2 linked regions of the Styela clava genome follow. The protein of the gene in region 1 interacts with the protein of each later gene in a biochemical or structural test. Links are inferred from orthologs where the notes say so. Each region holds a gene or a part of one and is shown in the gene's direction. Other genes may lie near its edges. The genes, in order: origin recognition complex subunit 2-like and origin recognition complex subunit 4-like.

Region 1 (13,154 bases):
AGTTACTGATTAAAACGTTTTTCCTATTGTGTGTTAACGATCAGCAATCTGTCTGAGTGATGTATTTTACGTTTTCAGTAATTCATGTGTTGATAGGACCAATTACAATAAAAAAAAATCACATACAATTATATATCTCCCAAGTATTCGAGATTCGCTTCGAAAAAAATATTCAATTTGATTCTGAAATCACCAAGTATTCAAAAATGCCCAGCCCTACATCCCCCCTCACGGTACAATAGTGTATTTAATACACTAGTAATACACTGTATTACAAGTGCTCATATTGATAGATACAAGTCAGATACATGTGCAGTGTAAGTGAAGTAAAATATACGAAGTAAATATAATGAATAAACAAGCAATTGAAAAAACGAGACAACATTGTACAAACGTACGTACAACGTGGAATCGTCATATGAGAGAACTAACGTATACGCAATGGTATCGTAAGGCAGAAGTATGATATGAATGTATATAGTATATGCTATTTGTTCGGAACGTGAAGGTTTAAAAACGCCTCGTATAAACACTTTATTGCTGATTTGACTATAATTCTAAATGTGTACTGAGATTTGCGCGAAATAAGTTTCAGATTTTGGCAATAATAAATTTTCACTTTGGTACCTGAAATAATAGGTCAAATGGTATTATAATATAGGCCTATAGGGTGTCCGTGAAGTCTTAAAAAGTTAAGTTAAAATCGTAAAATGTTTCAATGAAATAATTTCAAATTGGAAATAATTGAAACTCGTATTTTTACTAGAATAACAACATACAAGTACCTCAATTCAACAACAGTCATTAAAAATTTCCAGTTAACGATCAAGGGGGCGCATTTTCAAACTTTGCTGTGGGAACATTTACTGATTAAAAAACAACAAACCTGGTTGAGATATATTGAGGACTGACTTCATTTTGAAATTATAAAGGGACTTTATGGTCACCCTGTATACACCTATACGATATGGAAAAACTGTGACTTTTTCCTGTCTTCCAAATATAATCAACAATTCTGCGGTTTCCCTGCTCGTTATATTGTTACACTCAATAAGGATTTGGTGGTTGTGACCGCTTTTATTTTAATAGGACATAAAATTCGGTTCATCACAGTCTCCCACGCAAGAATGAGGCCGCGTTGTGTATATATAGGGCTGCAAGGATCAAGTCCATCTGAAAACAAACAACTGGCTTACTAATCCCATACACGACATGGACTGGCAACCGAACGAAAGGCCGTGGTTCGCCATATAATTAAACCATTTTATCGAATTTACTCTCCCCCGCGATAAATATATATAGCCTAAATCCCAAGCCTAAAGCTGATTGAGCAAGTCTTGTTGAGGGCATGCTGACGATGGCCAAATAAGCAACGTGTGTCCTGGATATATTTGGTAACCTATGTTAACTTTTGGGAGCCATAGGCAAAATTGATAGACGGGCACCTAGTCTGGGTAAAAGTGTGAAAAATTAAAATTTTGTAAAATGAAGTTAATTCGTCTTAAAACATTTTATTTCGTTTCAACTAACTACTAAATCGTGATCAAAATAACTTCACACGGCATGTGTGAAGGAAACCTCATGCAGTATAGAATTATTATTGAGTACATGTTGATTTACACCTGACGCGAGGCCCACTATAGATGGTCCTGGAAGGACGTAACCAAGGGATTCACAGCACTGGCTCCATTCGACACTGTACCTACACACTCAAACCTGTAACTATGTTCCACAACCCGAGATTGTATATTAAAATCTTATATAAATATAAAGATGTAATTCTAGGCAAACTGGATGTTTGGAGGTGGATGGTTTGAGTTGCGATAGGCATAAAAATGAACAGAATGTGTAAAAAAATTCACCAGTGTGTTTTTATTAACACAGCCATTGTTTATTTTTATTTGTCACGCTAAATTACTTCGGATTCCTCAATCTGCGTTAAATTGCTTTAAGTCAAGTCTATACTTCCGAAAACAAATAACTGGCTAACTAATCCCATACCCAACATGGAATGGTAACCGAACGAGAGGCCGTGGTTCGCCATATTATTCAACCGTCTTATCAGTTCCCTGTTCCCCGGGATAAATATGTAAATCTTCTCTCATCACACATGGCATAATATGAACTTGCTTGTCCTTGCAATGATTCTTAACGTGACCCACGCTATTTTAAATTACTTACCTTTAAAACACCAATGCACATAAACTTGGGCCACGGAGCACCTGACAGTTGACAGTAGCGGTAGCGGAGTATTCTGTCTGAGGCATTGAGGGTTTTGTAGTGGCGAATTTTGAGAAAAAATTAAAGCTTTGTTCATTCGTTTTTTCCGTGGTCATACAGGTATCCCCAAAGATATTAATGCATTCTATTTGACGTAAATTTCGCTCGTGTGTTACCAGTATGGGATATTTTTGTGTAGATACAACCTTGGAGGTGAAATCCTCCAGATCAATAGCGCTTTTAGTGTTTGTATTTCACTTATCTTCCAGTAATTCAGCGCTAATTATTATTGTAAAACTAGAACAAAAAGTTCAAATGAATTCGAAAAAAACTTAAAACTGAATGACTTCTAGTAGGCATTTAGATTAATCCAAGCATATATTTTGATAACAACCTTTTATCACGTGGGTCATGAAAAGATCAAGAAAGGTCGAATTACATGCATGGTTGGCTCTGCTGTCCTTTGGTTGACGTTTGCTAGTATTCTTTTGCTGCCCTATTCTCCAAGTTTAAGGCTTATTTTCAAGATTCAACAAGTTTGATTACATACGTTACGGTATATCTTGAACACATCCTGCGACGGGATGTCAAGGCTCGGCGGTGTGGCGCATCGTGCTCAGCTTTGAAATACTGGTACCGGTACCGTACCGTATTACCGGTACCATCAGTACCGGTATCAGACCATACAGCCATACCTACTGCTATGGCTATTCTGATTTTTTTTATAGGGTACCGGATTATTTTGGGTCTCGTGTAGTTTCGTACCTAACCTACTTCTAATAGGCGTAGCATAACAATTTTTCGATATGTCAATCCTAACCCCCATCTGACTACGCCATTCAAAAATTAGGTCACTACGACATTACAATCACCTCATAGAGCTTGCCAAATAGACGTACGATCGCCCGAAATAGCCACCGCGCCGAAGTTAAAGAACTGACTGATGTCATCGATCTCTCTCCTATCGGGATCGCGGGTCTCGTGTAGTTTCGTACCGTACCTAACGTTTTTCTAGTGGGCGTAGCATAACAATTTTTTGATATGTCAATCCTAACCCCCATCTGACTACGCCATCCAAAAATACGTCACTACGACATCACAATCACGTCATAGAGCTTGCCAAATATACGTACAATCGCCTGAAATGAAATTGGCCCCGACGATGAAGAGCTGACTGAGAGTTATCGATCTCTCTCCTATTGGAATCGTTGCGACAAGAAAACGAGAGAAATAACTGTTTGATTTCGGGTGCTCGTTTGCGCATCTTGGATAGTAGTTCGTATAGTTTGAAGGGCTCTATTACGTCACTGTGACGTCGTGTTGATGTAGTTTTGGGATGGTGTAGTCAGGTGGGGGTTGGGATTGATACGTGAAAAAATTGTCATGCTACGCCCACTAGAAGTATGTTAGGTACTAAACTACATGAGACCCGGGATCGCGACGAGAGAACGAGAGAAATAGCTGTTCGATTTCGGGTGCTCGTCTTGGATGGCAGTTCGTATAGTTTGAAGGGCTATATTAGGTCACTGTGGCGCAAATTTTAGATGGCGTAGTCAGGTAGGGGTTAGTATTGACAGGTGAAAAAATTGTTATGCTATGCCCACTAGAAGTATGTTAGATACGAAACTACATGAGACCCATTATTTTTCCTAGAAATCCAATGGCTGAATGGTGATTTTTTTTGATTGTCCTTTTATTTTTTTTTGCACTCTGCCGATTTGAAGACCCTGACAGTCTCATAAAGAAGGGGTTAGCACTCACAGTTATACCAGTAACAGTAATTGATTTTCTCACGTCTCATGTAGTTTCGTACCTAACATACTTCTAGTGGGCGTAGCATGACAATTTTTTCATGTATCAATCCTAACCCCCACCTGACTACGTCATCCAAAAATTACATCATTACGATGTCACGGTGACGTAATAGAGCCCTTTAAACTATATGAACTGCCATCCAAGACGCGCAAACGATCACTCGAAATCGCGCGGCGGTGTGGCTCAACGGGCTAAGCGTTAGGAATACGCTCGCCACCGCACCTCTAATTACTCTGCATGGGTTCGCAGGTTCGAATCCCATGCAGGGATGGTTATGTGCGAGAGGATTGCTGGGCTCCTCGCCGTCGTTGGGTGGTTCACGTAACCGCTGGTCGGTTACGGCTTCCTCCACCACCAAGTCCACGCTTCCGAAAACAAACAATATAACTAATCCCATACCCGACTTGGAATGGTAACCGGACAAGAGGCCGTGGTTCGCCATATGGATAAACCGTCTTATCGGCTTTCCTCTCCCCCGGGATAAATATGTAAATCCTATCCTATCCTAAATCGAACAGTTTTTTCTCTCGTTTTCTCGTCGCAACGATTTAAATAGGAAAGAGATCGATAACGTCAGTCAGTGCTTTATTGTAGGCGCTAATGCCATTTCGGGCGATTGTACGTATATTTGGCAAGCTCTGTGACGTGATTGTGATGTCGTAGTGACGTAATTTTTGGATGGCGTAGTCAGATGGGGGCTAGAATTGACATATCGAAAAATTGTTATGCTACGCCCACTAGAAGTACATTTGGTATGAAACTACACGAGACCCATTTTCTCTAATGTGGAGGCTATTCTTGCAATCGGAGAACTGTACGATACTGTCTAAAACAAAAAATATCCACCAGCATTCGTGAGAATATTTTCTTCCCATTTTGCCATATTATTTTTGTTTTTTTAGTTTCCCCTGTAGTTTGGGTTGTAATATTTTAGTTAAATCCAGTTTATAAAATGTATTCAAGATTTGCAAAGAATTTAATCAAGCCTGCGAGACAGCTGAAGCAGGTTGTTCAACGCGGAGATGCAACACGAGCTGTTGTACAAGTCAATACTCCAGAAACACGAGTAACAACTTTATCCAATGGATTCCGAATTGCAACTGAAAATTCTGATCTACCGACATGTACTGTTGGTTTATGGATTGACGCTGGAAGTCGTTACGAATCCGAGAAGAACAACGGTACTGCGCACTTTTTAGAGCACATGGCGTTTAAAGGAACATCAAATCGCTCTCAATTGGAATTAGAATTGGAGATTGAAAACATGGGTGCACATCTTAACGCTTATACTTCTCGTGAGCAGACTGTGTATTATGCGAAAGCATTTTCGAAAGATCTACCACAGGCCGTCGAAATTCTCGCTGATATTATTCAAAACAGCACTCTTGGAGAAGCAGAGATTGAGCGCGAACGAGGCGTGATTTTGAGGGAAATGGAAGAAATCGAACAAAACCAACAAGAAGTTGTTTTCGATTATTTACATGCGACTGCGTACCAAAATACTCCGCTGGGTTTAACGATCTTGGGGCCGAGTGAGAACATCAAGTCGATAACACGAAATGATTTGGTAACGTATATCCAAAGTCGATACAAGCCATCTTCAATGGTCATGGCAGCAGCGGGGGGCGTCGACCACGACAAACTGGTTGAATTAGCGAAGCAATACTTTGGAGCTACGGAATCCAGTGTAGCAGAATCCCTATCAAATAGCCTTAAACCTTGCCGCTTCACTGGAAGTGATATGCGACATCGGGACGACAGGATGCCATATGTTCATGTTGCCCTTGCAGTTGAAGGAGTTGGATGGGATCACTATGACACCATACCACTGATGATCGCGAATCAAATTATTGGAACATGGGATCGCTCTTCGACTAACGGAGCTCATTTTCCGAATCCTCTCATGCGTAGAATGGCAAACGAAAACCTTTGCGTTAGCTTCCAGTCATTCAATACTTTGTACACTGACACTGGTCTATGGGGAATTTATTATGTTACAGATAACGCAAATGTGTTTGATTGTACGGTCCGTATTCAAGATGAGTTAATGAGAGTCTGTCACCAAATCTCAGATTTCGAAGTTGAGCGTGCGAAAAACACGCTTCTTACTAACATGGCAATTATGATGGACGGGACGACCCCAATTTGCGAAGACATCGGAAGACAGATGTTATGTTACGGACGCCGAATCCCGTGGCCAGAAATGACAATGAGAATCCAACAAATCGGAACCCAGGATGTCAAAGATGCGATGCAAAAATACGTTTACGACCAAGACCCCGCTGTTGCGGCTATCGGACCCACAGAAGCTTTGCCAATGTACACCAACATTCGTGCTAAAATGTACAAAGTACATTCTGGATTATTTAACTAAAATGACTCTCAATTCTGCAGAAATAACTTTAAAAAAATTTAAAATTCTGTCTTTTGCTGTTTTTTATTGAAAAGTGTTCTCAGTTTTGGGCATTTTGATTCTTTTTAGTCATTGGTGGTGATATATTTTTCCTTCTTTGAGTTTTTTGGGTAACTTATTCTGTTATTTATGGTTATTACTTATATCAAAACTCTAAAAGTTTCATAAATATAGCGTAATACAGTGCGAGTCGCTAGAAAAAAGGAAAATTTGTCAAACAGCTATTTATTTATAAAAAGAATAACTTGTGCAAAGATTTTCAAAGGCATACCGTATTTGCTCGTTTTGTAGCCCGGGCCCATATTTATTTTAAAAACTCACTAACCGGGGCCCTTATTCAAACCGGCCCTTATTCAAGCAAGGGCGCTTGTTATTTTTAAAGTAAAATTCTACACAAAAATTACGATATCTTTGAAGACAAATATTTGACGACATTAATCCGTTGTGACAAAAGCGCTTCTTATTTCCTTAGCGCCCTTATTTGTTTTTATGTTCTGTTCACACGGGCGACTATTCAAACGGGCCCTTAATCAAGATCGGGCGGTAAAACGAGCATATACGGTATGTTATATTCCACTTATAGATGCTCAAAATGATGTCCACGCACTTCAGAGCGATGTCTTAACCTAGAAGTCCAAGCTCGTGTAGTGTTTTGAAGGTTAACTTGTGGGATATTGTTCCAATTCAACCTATACCTATACTCATTTTATTCATGATCTCGTCTTACTTTCAAATTTTCTGCTCTTCTAGCGACCATTCTGTATGATATTTCATTACCTGGGTTGGCAAGTTCTGTTATATTAATAGAAAATCTTGATTAATTTTCATCAAATGATTGTATTATTCGATATTTCAGCTTTGAGTACTATTCTGTTGGTGTTATTGTTACAAAATCTCTGATCATTTTTTTTTGTACTGTTTATCTTACTGATAAGATAAGTTCAGATAAGAAGCTAGGTTATTACCTTCCAACTTATCCTAATCTATGATAAAATAGAATCGAAGAAAAGAGATCTCAAATTTATAATAAAATTTGTCGTTCCATATTTAAAAGTATCATCTTATAATGTATTCAGAATAGTAGATTCTTAGATTTGAATATCCTCTGATTTAAAATAACTATCCTTTGACATTACTAGGTCAGCCATAACTCCATATAACTAAAATAAAACTCAGTTTTCATTTGCTGTCAAATCTCCTATTGTTATGTCATAAATATATTATTTGCTCATAATATGTTCCAATTTGAATTCTGAATGCTCAACTGTTGTGCTTTTTTGTTTAACTTAGTTATTTTAGTTAATTTAACATAATTTATAATAGTTATATGCAACAGAAGCTTCACTCAAAGGAGATTCTCACAATATTCAGAAAACTTCAAGAATCAAGAGTGCATTAACTGTGACCTGGCCTGGAGAAATTTCCATAAAAACTGTTCACAATTATCAGTTCACCGTGGAAATATTGTCCTATAAGTGACAGCAATTGTCCTAGAAGTGACACAGCGTTCCTCTGAAAAACATTTGGTTACAAAGTTGAGTGTTCTTGAACTTGTATAGATGCGTTTAGTTGGACATGTGTGTGACCTGTCTTGGAGCAAGTCCTCAAAAAGCTTTTAATACTTTGCTCAGCGGGAATGCTATTTCTCGCCTTGCCTCTGTAGAGCATTTGGTTGTGTATTTTTTCTTTTCGCACACTAACAAAGAAAAAACTTGAAAAACTATTTTTTGGAAACTTAACATCTGGAATCCTCAAAAAATTTCGGCTGAATTTGGAAGAAGAAGAAAGGTTTATTTCCAAATTTTTCGTACCAGTTCAATAAACCATGTCAAAAACCCCAAGCCGACGATCTGTTCTTGTAAAACATGTCGGAAATGAAGATGTGGAGCATCACGTTACTATGCTTGGAGTCAAGAACCAACGAAAAACAAGATCTTCTATGGCAATAGCAGCGGAGTTCTTTAACGATGTCCCAAAAATTGAGAAGAAAAAGCCTTCTGAGAACCCTAAAAAGAAAGAAAAAAGCGTCAAATATGCGGAAAATGAAGAAAAAGACATTTTGAGTGAAATCACGTCACTCGTTCCGACATCTCTACTTGAAAGTAACGTACAATATGGAGGAGTAGATGTGTACGGTTTTAAAACTCCGAAACGAGCTAAACAAATGTCGAAACTAGCGTCTGAATCTGCAAGAAAAGTATCCAGTGCAAAACAATCGGCGAATAATGAAAATAACGATCCATTGGTTGAAAAAAGTAACTCCAAAACGCCGAAGAAAAAATCGAAGACTTCTAAGACACCTTCCAAACCAGCCACAGAAATAGAGCCTAAAACACCAAGTGTTAAGTTCGCTGAAAATGACACCGACAGTTCATCTAAAACGCCAGGTAAAAAATCGAACAACGATGCACTTGATACACCAACAAGAACCTCGAATCGCACAAAAAAATATCTTGTTCAAGAGATGCAAGCTAATCAACAAGTTGACGATAATTCTGACTCCAGTGAAGAGGAAAATAGTGAAGATGAGGAAGAACAAGATGAACGACAAGGTTTGCGAATTAAACTATCTTGGTTGAGTTCATGTCTCATGCGAATCAGCATGGACTTATGAATCGTTTTAGATAGGTTATGATTTACATATTTATCCCGGAGGATGGGAGAGCCGATAAGATTGCTTACCGTAATTATATGGCAAACCACGGCCTCTCGTCCGGTTGCCAGTTCGCTGGGTGTTGTGGCGAACATATTCCTAGCGCACAGCAGGATGTGTTGGTATTTTTTTTTCGTAGTTACCTTATTGAAAAATCGCTCTTGGACTAATTGCCTCTAGAATTTATAGTGTTTAAAGATTGTAATTTTCCTAGAAGGCTAAAATTTATTTCAAAACTTGCTGTGGTATCTATGGCATTTGATCTTTTTTGTGCAATGATGTGCCGGCTTCGCATTCATTGCTATCTGGTAGTCAGACGAAGTCATGAAAACTGCGGTACTGGTAGTCTACTGTTAAAGATTGCATACACCACACATAGGCCTACTACTTTGTTATGGTATTCTTGTCCATATATTTGTGAACTCAACTGTTAATTTATCATTTTCTTAACTGGCATATTTTTCTTAGATCAAACCCCAGTGCCGCAGCCATCAAAAAGAATTGCCTTGCCATCGGAAACAGAGCTTTATTTCGAGGCTCATAAAAGTGGAAGAAAATTGGGTGCGAGTACTTCTGATCGAACTCTAGCACGACTAAAAATACCTCAAATGAACCAAGAAACAATGCATTCTATCTTAGAGGAATTACAGAACAATAAAATCGCGGGATTAAAAAATTCTAATCCGCATATGTTCAGCAAAGTAGAAAAAATCGAGCTTTCTCGCCAGTGGCTGATTCAAGGCTATGAAGAATACTTTCGTAAATGGATGTTTTATATTTTTAACGATTATAATATTCTACTATACGGACTGGGATCAAAACGCCACCTAGTGCATGAATTTTGTGAAAAAATGCTCTCAGAGTTTGATAAAATTGTTATAAATGGTTATTTTCCGAGTTTAATTATACGCTCAATTTTGGCGTCAATTTGCGAGGTTGCGGACGTAAATATCACCATCGGAGGGAGCCAACAGCAGGCTCAAGTTGACGCAATATGTAAAAAATACACAGACAATGGGTTTGTTGATCATTTATTCTTGATAATTCACAATATTGATGGAACAACTTTACGAAACAATAAGACTCAAAATATTTTAAGTCGCCTAGCGTCGTGTCCACGGATTCATGTTATTGCAACCATAGACCACATAAATGCTCCCCTTATATGGGACCAATCCAAGTTATGTCGATTCAAATGGCTCTGGTACGATGTAACAACGTACGAACCTTATAAAGACGAAACTTCATTTGAGGATTCGCTTCTTATGTTGACCAGTGGAACTGGTATTGGTGGTTCATTAGCTCTAAGCGGCCTCGTCCATGTGGCAAGAAGTTTAACTCCTAATGCTCGAGGAATTTTTAAACTTCTCACAGAGTTTCAAATCGAGGAGTCAAAATCGAGTAATTATATCGGACTCTCTTTTTCTGATTTGTATCAGATGTGTCGTGAAAAGTTTCTCGTCAACAGCGAACTAACGCTGCGGACTCAACTTACGGAATTTCTCGACCATAAACTTGTTGAAATCAAAAAAGGTATTGACGGTGGCGAATACCTCTCTATTCCCCTCGATAACGCTACTTTGCAAGAATATTTAGATCAATCACTTTGAGAATGAGGAATTTTGTTAGAATGGAAGGTGATTACTTGTTTTTGAGGTGTTTTCACACTCCTCCAAGCTTTGTTCGCCTAATATCCACTGTTCAGAAACCGTCATTTTCACTCTGATATTCATGTTTTATTTTCACTGAAGTTCGCTGTCATTTTTTGTGAACTAGACCAGAATCTTTTCAGTTCAGAAACTGAATTGATTGATTTTCAGTTGCTTTTTTCACCCATGTCTGGGCTCCACTGATATGTGATAATATTCTTGAAAAGACCAGAATATTTGCATATTTTTGCTTACCATTGTTCAAATTTTGTTTAAATTATTTGAACACACTTGAGATGTTCATCCTCCAGTTAATTGAGAAAATGAACTGACTGATGTTCTTGTTCCATTTTCACTCTGAATTAGGCTCTGTACAACCAGTTACTGATAGGCAAGGTAATTAGTTTCTCGGGACCCAGAATATTTGCGTTTTTTTGCTCACCGTTGTTTTAATTTTGTGTAAATTATTCCAACCTTCTATTTATTTTCTCATTATTTATTATATTGCTTTCCACTGCCACTTGAAAGTGTATTTGGATGCTGTGCCACACAATGAGGTTTAATGACTATTTAAATCATTACTGTATTCCAGTCTCCTTACATTTTACTCTAAATTCCTCTTTCCGACTATTTCGGAACTCTTTATTCCTTTCTTAATATGTATAAAAACTGCTTTATTTTTCCAGTCGTTTGTGGGTTCTTCAAACGTATTAAGTACATTTTGCATTTCCGATTTGGTACAGTACAAGTAATTAATTTTCTAAGGTAATAATAATTATAAATAAATAAGGTAAATATAAATAAGCATTAGAATAAGCAAATAAAGAATATTAGTATTTGTACTACAGCAAATACTATGCAAAATTCCCCCTGAAAATAACAAAATTGGGAGGGGGGGTTCTCCTCAGCTGGGAAATGTTACTGTATTCAATCAATCGTGTATTTTGTTTCTACAAATGCTGCCTCTTGAATACAATATATTATTTGAATTGCAATGAATCTTGTTGAAATCTTCACAAAAATACCTGTGTGATCTGGATAGAGGATTGATAACCTCATCATGTGCAAGGCATATTTTGAGTCGTAGAGAGATTAGATCAGTGGTGCCCAACCTTTTATTATAGCATGTGGCCCTTTTTTAGATGCTTATAGTGCTCATGGCTCCCTGTTTATCATTCCAGAGGTATTCATAGTGTTATTTTGATTGGTAGATTCTAAATCACGTTGAGTTCAAACAATTCATGCTCTATAAAATGAAAACACCCTGTGAAATAACCTTATCAAGCAATGAAACTGGGAAGAATAGGAGAGTTTGCTTGTAAAGTGAAATCAGTTTTGCGCCTAGCATTGGGGCCCCCTCCAGCTGCTGTGGGGGGCCAGTGGCCCCTGGTTGGGAACCGCTGAGATAGGGAGGGCTTGATTGAACTTATGTGCTTCGGACTGGGCCACAGGGATCCTCTCAGGTTAGGAGGGAAAAACTTATTAAACAGTCTATGATCACAAGGTCAGTAGTTATATGTTCATATGGGTAGTGAAGGAAGCCGCAATCTAACAGTGTTTTTGTGAGTCACGCTGCAAGAGTCAGGAATCAAGCAATCATTTATTTCATATTTATTTACCAGATATTCTCCAGAGAAATGACAGGGCTGGGAAGTATGACTCTGAATTTGCTGTCATTTCTCCAGAGAAATGACAGGGCTGGGAAGTATGACTCTGAATTTGCAGTTCTGATCACTGAAGTTGCCTACCAATTAATATAGGCGGGTTACTCAACCTAGTCTTTAACCTGTCATGGGCAAAATCCGGCCCGTTGGGTAATTCAATCTGGCCCGCCTGATGCCAACTAAACTAAAACCATATTATGATGTTTTAGCTAAAAAGAAATTTGTTGAAATTGCAGTTAATTTTAGTTTCGTCACAAGGCTTATTGTTTTCCACTTTTGCTTTTGTAACACTGTGAATGTTGTACCCGACACGAGGAGAGGTCGTAGTTTTTCATATGATTGAGTCGTCTTATCGGTTTTGGGATAAATATGTAAATTACTTCTTCTAAAAATGAACGTAATTCTGAAATCCCACCATTCACAATAACGATGCGAAGTATCATGCAGGAATATATTCGAAAATCATAAACACAATTGAAACAAAATTTCTACAACACTAGGAGTAACATGATTTAAGCTACAAACACACAATAATATCATGAAACTTGAAAAATCTGATTAGAAATTCAGCCAGTCCAGAGGCGTGTTTTGCTCAAATTCTCACAAAGTTAAAATGTCCCGATCTTTTTAACTGCTTGTCCAGGCACTGTTCAACGCTTAAATTTAACCTTCTATAATGCAGAATTTAGTTCAATGTTAAATATTCAACTGAAGATAAATTAAATATAAATGACCGCTTG
Region 2 (12,456 bases), on another chromosome or scaffold:
ATGTATTTCAACTTTGTAATCAGCGAAACCGACGATAAATCAATTGCTAAAAACAAAGAAAAATAAAATATGCCCCCAGATGTAGCAGCTGGTATGACCAATATTTATTTCATGGTATTTTATTGGTGATAAATCCCATTTTCTTCCAAGGCGATCAAGCGCGTGCGACTCAGATTCAGATATTTATTTTCGTCATGCAAAATCAATATACGATATATATGAGATAAATAAAAGGCATATAACAAATTACAAAAACGTATATCGGCTTGTTGCAGTAGGGGTTAGATTAGGGTTTCCATACCGTTCGGAAAATTCCGGACATGTCCGGAATTTAGGGTTAAATTTTGCGTCCGGGAAGAATTTAAAAAATGCTTAAATGTCCGGAATCCGGAATTTTACTGCATCTGCAATCGTACTGTGCACACTGCTAATAAAGAACATTGTTATTTCGTACCGTGCTCATATTTTTTACTACGAGGTCATGACAGTGACCAGAGCGTGGTCATTTTGACAACCGGGGCAAGCTACTGCGGGACCAAGTCACCCCCATCTACGGGGACAGGATGAGCGCTGTAAGTTCTCCCATCATTTTATGAGTATAAAAACCATTCCATCGGTAACAACCAATCGGCAAAAGCGACAATTTTTAACGATAAGAAAGTGTCTTTAAAACCGGTCCAAGTCAAGGGATTAATAAATATAGACATAGTTTATTTTGAAACCTCTTTCAAAAGGAAAGGCAATATTTACCCAGATAAATACAATGACATATTAACAGAAACTTCGGGAAAGCAGACAAAACCTAAAATAAGGTTTAAAACGTTACTATGAAGAAAGGAAAGTTAATGCAAAGATAAGGACATGCGTCGCTCACTCATAGATATATATGCTGCTAGACTTCTACTGCTTGAACATATATGCAACACGCCGCGGTTTCTTGGAAGCAAAATGCTCAATAACGCGCTGATTAAAGTCATGCATCCTGGAATAACGTCTCTGTGAATGGATAAAACAGCCAAGGAATTTAATCTATCTTGCTTCATTGTGTTTCTGAGATACGTTTTAATACGCTTCAGCCTACTGAATGTTCGCTCTGCGTCGGCGGAAGAAATAGGCGTCGTCAAAATGATGTCCAGAAATTTTGCAGACGCCGCAAAAGTAGTTACTAGACTCTAGAGTGTTATCTATGAGGAACCCATAGAGCGCGCAAGTTGATGTGATGTTCAAAAAAGTTTGATTGGTGTATATACATCGCAATTCATTTTCCAATTTACTCACGTTTATCATGGGGTAAAATTTGGAGACAGTAGCCAACAAATGGATGGGAAATTGACGTGCAAATTTTGAAAAATTTTTGGGGTTCATCAAAGAGAACGCGGCAAGGTGTTCAGTGCGCAGACGATCGCCTATTTGATTCACCAGAATGTCACAGCATTCCTTTGCAGACAAAATCAAACGCTGCGTTGTTTGCCCGCGGCGTAAAGAAGCACTCCATGTGTCGTCGTATTTTATTGTTTCCCGAATACGAGATACAGCATCGCAGAAGTCTGAAATACACGACTGCACAGACGCTCCATCCATTAGCCTTGACTGCAATGCGCCGTATAATACATCCACGTGATAGAATATTGTGGAGAAAAAAGCGAGAAAAAATGAAAACTCACCATCTTCTAGCAGACACTTTAGACCTGCCGCCTCCCTCACAGAGCGTTCGTCCCAAACCGGAGAGCTCTGAATGCCATTGAAACACTCAATGAGCTCAGACCTAATTTCGGACACGCCCTGCACCACGCGTGATTGGAAGTTCCAACGTGTTGGTGCACAAGCTGGAAGACGGCGGCTACATATCTGGCGAAGGAGGTCAGAGCGCTTCGGCGAAACGAAAAAAAAATGAAGAAAACCCCGAAACATTTGCAAAAAATATACGGACGAGAGGGGTATCAAGACACATATTTTTAATAACGAGGTTAAATTGGTGTGCATAACAATGTAAAAAATGCGCACGAGGAAAATCTTCTTTTATATAAACTTGAACACCCACTCATGACTGCCGCGCCAAATGTTGTAAATAAATTTTATACATTGAGTCGAGAAAATCATTTTGGATATCCTTAGATGTCCCTTTCGACACAGTTGCGGCATCAAGATGATCTCTCAATACTGTATCTAGGGATGCGGTGTATTCCACCATATCCAAAAATACCCCTCTATTAGAAGAGCCAGCCCGTTCATCGTGCCCACGGAGGGACAGCCCGTGACAACCAATGAACTTCAAAACATCTATCAATCGACCGAGAACATGGCGGTTTTTCTCGACGTTTTGGTTGTGCCGACGAATAGAAACCGCGCGTCCTTCATCCAACTGTGCTGCAATAATAACATTTCCGAATGTTCGGTATTTTACTGCATTGTCCAGATGCTCCATAGAAGATTGATGATCCCTGGCACGCTCGGAAAGATGATTAAGATCTCTAAAACCAAATTTACACCAACGTGAGTCACGGGCGGTAGCAAAAAGTAGGCAATAAAAACAAAAAAGTGCATTTTTGTCCTCGCTGTAACACAACCATTCGTGTTTTTTATACCAAGTTTCTGCGCAGAATGTACGCCGACGCTTTCCTCCGTCATGGGATTGTTCCAGTGAACAATTTTTTGGTTGATAAGGCCCAAGACGTTGTACCTCTAGTTTTTGTTCCAGCGGGAGCTGCGAAAACGGAGTGCGAAGTAGTGCATCAACCTTATTCATTATGAGGTCTAAGGCTAAGAAATGCGAAGCCGGAAAGAAGTGAGGAGCTCAAAAGGAATGTGGAAAATCGAAAGCAAATGGACTAAAGGTCTCTAACTGATTCAAATAGCGAAACAAGCAACAAAAACGAAGGCGAGGAAACTATCAACTCTTCAAGCAACCAACGAACGAGAAGGAATGCGTGAATAAGTCAACACGTTGTTGTAAGAAACGTCGGCATTGTGTCGTCATAATATCGGGGCTAGCCCCGATCGGCCCTGATGATTTAGTAAAAGAAACAGAAAACAAACGAGACAAACGCGGCGAGTGGAAGATAAAAGAGAGAATACGATATACAATGAGCAACCGGGGCAAAATCGGCGTCGCCCCGTCGACGTTCGGCGAAGGCTTTGCGAGCGAAAAATGAACCATATCGGGAGAATATGGCTAGTGTAGACAGTCTGTGCAACCGATATTGAGGTATTTTTCCAATATTTTTTATTATACCGAAAAAACAACCGGGGCATTGCCCCGGTTGGCCCTATTGATGCGCCGCCACTGGGTCATGAACTGTCCGGAATTTTGCTTTTTCAAATATGGTGACCCTAGGTTAGATGTTCACATTGAACTTGGCTGTATTTATTACGTTTTCAGACGTTATTACATCATATATTTACGATTACACCCATTTTCATCTTTTCCGGGATGCCTAAAAAGGGCCTAATCGTGCCAGCTGGTGGCAATTTAATATTCCTGAGCAAAATAACTAGACGCAAGTGCATACATTGGATATTCAACTATGACTAGGGTAATCAGTAGCACCAATATATTCATATTATCGTCTTTTATTAGTGATTAGCCTCCTTTCATTTTTGAAGAGCGAAGGATATGTTGTGATCAAGAGCATGGACCCCTACCTAATACTACGTTACAACCCGCATTCTTGGGTTCACCCTTTGCACCTTGCATGGTCTATCTATAATCTGTTCTATATCATATCCGACTATTTTTAACTGATTCATTATTTTATTAAGTTATTACATCCATTTTCCCCCTTTTTCCTAAATTCCTATAAAATTGCCTTGTCGATCGTGCCTACCTGTACCAATTTATAATTCATGCATAAAACTTCCAGACTCAAATGCATTCATCGAAAATTCACCTAGTATCACTAGCATTTATATTTTATATTTATAGTCTTTTATTAGTGATGATTTATTTCTTTTTCCAAGTACCTAGCGTATGTGGTGATCAAGCGCGTGCGACTTCTTCTAAAACTACGTTTTAATCCTAATTAATGGATTTACTGGTTGCATTTTTCGTGTTCAACATTTAATTTGGCTAATTTTAACTAATTCATTTTCTTTTCAAAAGGTATTACGCCCATTTCATTATTTTTCCAAAGTGCATGAAAAGTCATAACCGGTTCCTGTAACAATTTAGGATTTACATATTTATCCAGGGGGAGAGGAAAGCCATAAGACGGCTTATCCATATGGAAAAACCACGGCCTCTCGTCCGGTTATCATTCCAAGTCGGTTGTGGGATAAGTTATTGGACACGTAGTGGACATAGCGATCGTTTCAATATTATGTTGTTGTTGTTGTTCTTGTTCTTGTTCTTTGACACGTTTTTAAAAAGTCGCTTTTCTCTGTGATGACTGGACCAATTGCTTTGAAATTTTCAGTGGTTGAAGATAAAAATTTTCTTCAGAAGGCTATTACTTTTTTTTACTGCAATGACGGCATCAGAATTATTGCCCTTAGGGGGCGCTACGTGTCCATATATTTGAGCATAGCTCTCTTGTATTGTTTGTTTTCGGAAACATGGACTTGGTGGTGGAGGAAGCCGTAACCGACCAGCGGTTACGTGAACCACCCAACGACGGCGAGGAGACTAGCAATCCTCTCGCACATAACCATCCCTGCATGGGATTCGAACCTGCGAACCCACGCAGAGTAATTAGAGGTGCGGTGGCGAGCGTATTCCTAACGCTTAGCCCGTTGAGCCACACCGCCGCGCCAGGACGGGTTTATTATTCTTCAATACCACTACTAGACTCAAGTGCATTCATCGGATATTCACTCAGGCTAATTAATGTGACTTATATTTTTATTTCTCGGTTTTTATTGTTATTGGTGATAATTTATTGTATTTATCGCGTTTTGTTAGACTTTCTCAACGGTGTCGCCGCTCGATAACCAGCTTTGGTTTTCGGCGTCTCCCTTCACCCTAAAATGCGATTTTTTTTATATATTTCTTTTAAATTGTGTATGTAGAATTCGTATTTTTCAGCATGATGAAAAAATAAATTACTGATTACTGACTGATTACATTCTTCATTTTTTTGAAGTGCCTAGCGTATTTGGTGAGAGAGCGCGTGCGACTTTTAGTACTACGTTTCAACTACAGTATCATTTTTGGGTTTACTTGTTGTACTTTGCGTGTTCAATGTTTAATTTGACTATTTTTACCTAATTCATTGTCTTTTTAAAAGATATTACGCCCATTTTACCCTTTTTCCGAAGTGCATAAATAGGTGCCTAATTTTTAGGTGCCTACTTTCAGTCCGTCCCCTGAAGGGTTACGGTACCGGTATCACTGGAATTTGCATACCGTACCGGTAGTTGTTAGGAATTTTGTCAGTTTGTTAAAGCGTAAATACGGTTAAAGTCTAAGCAGTCTTTCAGCTATTAGAATTTGACTAGATTAGCTTGAATAATTATGTGTGTTTAAAGTCAGATACTACAGTCAGACAGTACCGTACCGGTACCGGTACCGGTACCAGTAGCCTACGGTACTACAGGATAAATGGGAATTTAGATACAGTCTCTGTTGAGAGCCTCAATTTGCGTTGTTTTAGTTTTGTATGATGATTAAGAACTCGTACAGTCCAGCAGTCTGTAACTACCGGTACTGAACTACAGAACTAGATGTAAGATAAGATTATTTTGTTTTAATTTAGTCTATTAGAAATAGTGTAAAATTTTCATTTGCTAATTGTCATTTTTTATGTAACTATTGTTCATTTATGACATTAACAACATGAAAATTTGATACAACCAACTGGATAATACTGTACCGGTAATATGTACCGGTACCGGTATTTGAATAAATGAGACCAGTGGTTCCCAAACTGTGGATCGCGACCCCATCCGATTTTTTGGGGTCGCCTAACTTCTGCCGAACATACACACACAAGTGAATAGAATTTGAAAATTGTATAGTGAAATTTTTGCTGGCAAATACCGTAAAATTTCCAAACTTAGGATTTTTAGCAATATCTTGACCATTTGTTGTCCAAACAGTGCCAGAATGGCTCGATTCTTTTTATAGCTTTTTTGATCATCTTACATTCAAATAAATTGTAGACCCGCTGGTAAGCGAATTGGATTTAGACCATTGCCAGTCTGCGAGAAATTACGTTGGTTTTTTATTTTGTATCTGTGTAGCCCACCGTTTCTCAAATTGTATGCCGCGGCACGCTAGTGTGTCGCAAGAGCTTCTCAGGTGTGCAACGGAGCTTTTTGAAATTTTAGAAAATAAGCTATTCGTGTTACACATTCAGACATTGGAATGCATGCAACGGGCAAGCTTGTGAGACTTGAGTATCCGGTATTAGACTGGTAATATAATTACATTTGCCTTATCGATGTAGTACAGTAGTAAGAGTGATTTTCTACTATGACTGAAATTAAAAGCAAAAAAGGGAGCGACGGAACATCATTTCAATTGTTTCTCAAAACAGACCACACACATCTCATTAACATTTGCAGAATAATTTGTTTAAGGATAACTTTATTTTGTTACAAGTGTGCCGCAGGATATTTTTCATTTGCTTAGTGCCCCGTGAGCAAAAAAAGTTTGAGAACTACTGGTGTAGCCGCTTGGTTTGGAAGATACAAAGCAAAGTTGCTTTATTTGGCGAACGGTCCTTAGTTAGGTGTTTGACATGTTTGGTATTGATTACCAGGCGGTGTCTTGGCGGAGTATTGGCACTGTAGGTTTTGATCAGTTGCGAAAGCACTTTGTTAATTTGCGCACGTGTCCAAAATCTATGAGTCGGCTGCGTGTTTTGCCCACATTGACCCCACATAAAAGTGAACGTTTTCGTATTGCGATATTACGTATTCAGAAGTTTCATACATACTTTCAAAGCGTTCCGAGTAGTCAAACACAAAACCACAACAAGTTTTAGCATAATAGAAGGCACCTGAAAGATGTGATTTCGTTCACGTTTTCCCTATTTTACTCTCATGCTCCGTTTTAATTTAAAATTATTAATGGAGCAATCTGTATTATGTTAACATTGTAATCAAAATAATAAAGACACTGTTGGAATATACTAAATAAGATTTAAAATTTATGTATATTTAGAAGCATCTTACTATCTCCAAATCTCACTATTTCCGAAGTATCATAAGCTTCCTTACAGTTACAATCTACCACATTTTATCAAGTCCGTCTAGTACTGTAGGTTTCGCTAAAGAACCGTTAAAATCCTGATCTAAGAGATTTTTACACTGTGGTTTTCATATCATGCCATGTGTTATCAAATCTTCCGAAGTTCCCCCGTTTTCTGGCGCATTGACGGACTCGTTCATATATTTTTGGGCCAATGTTCATCGTCAACGTCCATTTACAGTAGATATACTGGTACATTGTTCCCATTGAGGTATTTAAAATGATACATAGTACTGATTTCTGAAGTTGCTCAACGTTTCTAGTTGTGGGTCGCGAGTATCTGTGGGCTTTGATTTTATGAAAATTGGGGTCGCGACAAAAAAAAGTTTGGGAGCCACTGAAATAGCAATACCGATGCTGAATTAATGGAACATACAATGGTGATGGGGATCTTATTGGATGGTAACATTTTATGTAATGTGATGAATATTGGAGTATTCCTGTTTTTACCACATAAAAAAAAAATCCTAACTCAGTAACTAGAGCCTCTATTATACTGTTATAGCAATACAGCACACTATCCAAATTCCAAGAATTTCCCTCCATTTGGCTCAATAAAAACAAACACTTTATGTGTCTCACAAAGGTGGGGCGTCTGGGATCACGTTAGATGCTTCATATCGCGCCATGCTTGTCTCAATAATATTCTAAATTAATCGCGGCCGCCACATGACCAAAATTGCTGTTTTTTGCTAAAAACTCTCAAATGCTACGGTAAAAATTTTTTCTTTCGATAAATCGGATTATTTTTTTCCGAGGAATTCAATGATGACGTTACTAAATTGCGCTTATTTGTAGTATTTGGCGCAACTTTATTATACTGTATTTTTACCGATATTGAGGGACAACAATGTCCAGACGTCTCCCTAAGGAGGGGTGTCTGATCATCTGTAAAATGGGTTTCTCTGAATTAGGACAATGTCACCCGACTTGTATAGTGTGCCGTACTGTATAGGTAAAATATTTATGTGAATTTGTCAAGTGGCTTCCTTGTCAGTTTGTCAATCGTAATCCTATTGGAAATCATTTTATTTGTCTGACTAAGGTGGTATGTATGTAATTCTGATTTTTGGATGCAGTCTTCATTTCATTACTAGCCTACTGTCTGACTGTACTATGTCTGTATGTCAGCATGCAGTAATAGTTTTTTTTTATTTTTTGTGCTTGACTGTCTGACTGTATGCAAAAATTTTTATTTTTCATTTTTTTGTTCACCAGATATTCTTTAATTCTGTTCCATCAAATTACACTATACAGCCATACATAATAATGAGCCTCTTGAGTTCAGCACACGACTTAATCAGGAAAAGAATGGCTGGGTTATCTACACCTCAAAATATTCGCAAGGATATGAATCAATATTTTCTAAACATAGAACAGTTATTAAAACGAACAGTTGAATTGGGAGAAAGCAATTCACTTCTTATTATTGGTCCAAGCGGATCTGGCAAGACAACATTACTGAAAAAGTCTTTAACAAACATTAAAAAAGATGTTAACATAGGGAAAAATTTGATGGAAGTACATTTAAATGGTTTAATTCAAACTGATGACAGAATTGCATTAGAAGAAATTACAAGACTATTACATCTTGAGAATACAGTTGGAGATCGCGTGTTTGGTTCTTTTTCGGAAAATTTAGCATTTTTATTGGAAGCTTTGCGGACAGGCAAATCGTCAACTTCTTGCCCTATTCTTTTCGTTTTGGACAATTTTGAGCTTTTTGCTATGCATAAAAATCAAACCCTGTTGTATAACCTTTTTGATATTACGCAGGCGGGTACTACACCTATGGCAGTAATAGGTCTCACTTGTAGACTTGATGTTATGGATTTGTTAGAAAAAAGAGTAAAATCGAGGTTTTCACATAGACAAATATATATTCATAATGGAAGTAATTTTGATCAATATGTAGCAACTTTCAAGGACTTACTCACTCTCAATGCGGATGATATTAAAACATTTGCTGGAAACAAGAATGAGAAAAATAAATTTCTGAAGCAGTGGAATAATTTTGTTGAAAAAATTACATCTGATTCATCAGTGCTTCGGTCACTTCAATTTCAGTTTGATATTTGCAAGGAAGTTTCTTCGTTGTACACTGCGCTTGCACTCGTATTGTTTAAATTAGATCCGTTTGCAAAGCCATCAGATACTGCAGGTGAAATAGTCGATGCAATAAATACATTACATTGTGATTTCAAAGCAAATGTACTACATGGACTTTCTGTCTTGGAACTTTGTCTGGTTATTGCAATGCACCACCTGAATAATATCTACGCAGAGCCTTTTAATTTTCAAATGGTTTATAATGAATATATTAAATTTGCGAAAAGAAGATCCCATATCTTGCAAAACTATTCTAAACAGGTTGTCATGAAAGCCTATGAGCATTTGATAGAATTGGAACTGATTAAACCTATGTATTCAAGTGCAACTGGTGTTCATGCTGGTGTTGGATCCAAACTTCAAAAGGAATACAGGCCGATGTCTCTATTAATCGAACAAAGCCAACTTCATGAAGCGATAAACAAATACAATGGTTGTCCTACTGATCTAAGGCAATGGGCTATGTCATCACTTGAATAATTTGTATGAACAAGCTATGAGGGCATAACAACACACACAGATAGTATTGAGAATTGTTCCTTCTTTGAGAAGTATTTTCTGGCAATATTAACATTATAGATTACGGCAGAGGTTCCCAAACTTTTTGGGCCACGGACCCCTATTTGTGGATATTATTTTTTACGGACCCTCATGTTATACCAATTTATGTGACTCCCATTGTTAAGGTCTCGTAACCATTACCATTTGTGATTGCGTTAACTTACAACTTTATCTCGTTTATGAATGTCTATGTAACAGTGGATATACGTTAAATGTACCGGTATATGTTTCAGACTCTCAATATCGCTGCGGACCCCATGTGTAGTCGTTACGGACCCCAGTTTGGGAAACCCTGGACTACGATAATAATGATTATGTGTTTTTGTTTTACAATACACACAATGAGGAACAAATAATGTACCGTACTTCATAAGGGCATGTTTGCTTTTTTATAAATTTGCATCGAAACCATACTTGACAAAAAAATAAAGATTTGGGAAATGAGATCATTAATTCATTATTTGTTATTTTCAGATAAAAAATGTTTTTTGAACATACATTTTCCAACAGATTGATGTTGTTGCCCCCAATGATCAGCGGTTATTGATTAATCCTGTCATCTTTTACCATATAACATCAAAATCCAATTAAACATACATGATAGAAGATTGTTCGAAGTTTTAGTACCTGTGTCTGCTATGTTCAAAAAAAAATTATTTTCTATATTCATTTTCAGATTCCTAATCAGTATATGGTTATTGTCTAGTAATAAATTTTCTTTCATTCAGAATCTTATTTTTCGACAAATAATAAATATTAATGTAATTCTGCTTCAACACTAGACTGGGCTACACTTCACATTTTACCCATAGTTGGGTTTTGGGATTATGAGCGATGTGAGTATAGTATTTTATTCACTATTCTGATACATAACGGTAATGTAAATCTCTGATATTGAATTGTTTACATTCGACTGATTCCAGGTCATGTTATACCAGAAAATTACTTGCATCAATAAATTCATGTAGGTACTTCTCGTGGAAATTAATTCAGTTTTTATAAATATTTCAATCATTACAAAACTTTGAACAAGCAGGCCCTGAATCCATGAAAGCATTGTGAAAACAAATTAAATGTACATACTGTTATCTAATAAACTATCTGCTAGTACTTATTGCTATAGAATTGGGGTATTCGGGTGTCTGTGTTTCACAGTTTATTAGTAATAAGTTGACAGAGGTGATAAATATTTATCGTAGATGCATTAATAGTTGATACTGATATTGAATAATACATTGGGTAGAAATAACATACTCTCGTAGTATGTGTGCCAGATTAGGTTTAGAGCATAATTAGGCTTCCCGCTGCTTGTCAGCAGGGAACCTATTGTATTCCTGTGTTTTATTATTATTTATTATTATTATTTATTTATTATTATTATTATTTTTTTTTCAAATTGGTCCTACAAACTTGAAATTCACCTCAAATGTGCAGAACTTCTCAGCTAGCAATGGAATGCAAATTTTATGCATGACTGACCACGCTTTCACGCTCCAGTGAACAAAACGCGTTTTCAGTTTTTTTGCGATTTCTCAAAATTAATACATGCTATTGGGTTGAAATTCATAACAATGATTAATGGACATGTTCCGGATACGATATGTCAAGGACACGCATGAGTGACCTCGGCGATACGCTCCAGTAAGCAATATAGGATTTTACATTTTCATCTTCTTCTTGAGAACGACACTACTTAGAGACTTGAAATTTACATCACATGCAGATAATAAGTCCCCCATCATAAATTGCGAATTTTATGCATGACTGACCACGCTTTCACGCTCCAGTGAGCAAAACGCGTCTTCAGTTTTTTTTTACGCGGGAAGCCTGTTAAAGCTGCACGCAGCTCTAGTTTTATTTTGATTTTCCTTATTTTAGTTCTGTTACGATAAAGAGTTCGGGGACTGTCTTTGTTAGCCAAGTAAATATGCCCATAGGCTCAGTGGCGCAACCAGCGGGGGGGTTACGGGGGTCGTGTCCCCCGTTTGAATTTCGTTTTTTTTTATTATTGTTCTATGTTAAAACAACGTCGTTCCACGGTCATAACAATCCGGTGAAAACTACTTTTTTCCAGTGCTTTATCACCTCGACGTAATTTAACACCGCCCGCCCGACTTCAATTATACCTTTTTGCTGATAGTTACGTAATAATCGCTAACCCCGCGTATATGTTTGTATTCGAAAATGAGATATGTTATCTCAAAAAAGTAGAAATCGCGCGCTGTCGATGCGAATTGAAAGCGACAATAGCATAATGCCATCTCTCTCTCTCTTGTGACGAATACTCTCGTGCTTCATCATCTTGACGCAATGTAACGCCGCCCGTCTTCATGTCGTCGAGGACGTCTTCATGTCGGCTGTTATGTATTTTTGTTTGTAAATGAATACCGCTAACTTTAACTGAACTGATGTTGTTATCAATGCCGGATGCCGACGAAATCCGCGATAGATATTAAATACTATTTAAGAGCTATTTTATACGCGCTAAATTAGAAGAAATGAAAAAATTTCCTGTTATGTTCGGTCACTATCGAAACTGAGGATGGAAACAACTAATTAAGACACAATTTGCCGAGGACGCCTAAACCATCTCGACT

Evidence for each region.
Region 2: the proteins of origin recognition complex subunit 2-like (region 1) and origin recognition complex subunit 4-like form a complex in vitro, tested with the Drosophila melanogaster proteins (3 studies listed by BioGRID, with this or other methods). The link is inferred for Styela clava from reciprocal best matches to the Drosophila melanogaster genes Orc2 and Orc4.

What each region holds. Positions count from the first base shown.
Region 1 is NC_135262.1:2,454,887-2,468,040, forward strand, and holds origin recognition complex subunit 2-like, read left to right. Parts: upstream 1-7,891; 5' UTR 7,892-8,273; coding exon 8,274-9,000; intron 9,001-9,569; coding exon 9,570-10,711; 3' UTR 10,712-11,749; downstream 11,750-13,154. Other genes in the region: mitochondrial-processing peptidase subunit beta-like, read left to right, coding at 4,988-6,409. UniProt on the Drosophila melanogaster protein: Component of the origin recognition complex (ORC) that binds origins of replication. DNA-binding is ATP-dependent, however specific DNA sequences that define origins of replication have not been identified so far.
Region 2 is NC_135254.1:23,095,785-23,108,240, forward strand, and holds origin recognition complex subunit 4-like, read left to right. Parts: upstream 1-6,294; 5' UTR 6,295-8,458; coding exon 8,459-9,778; 3' UTR 9,779-10,536; downstream 10,537-12,456.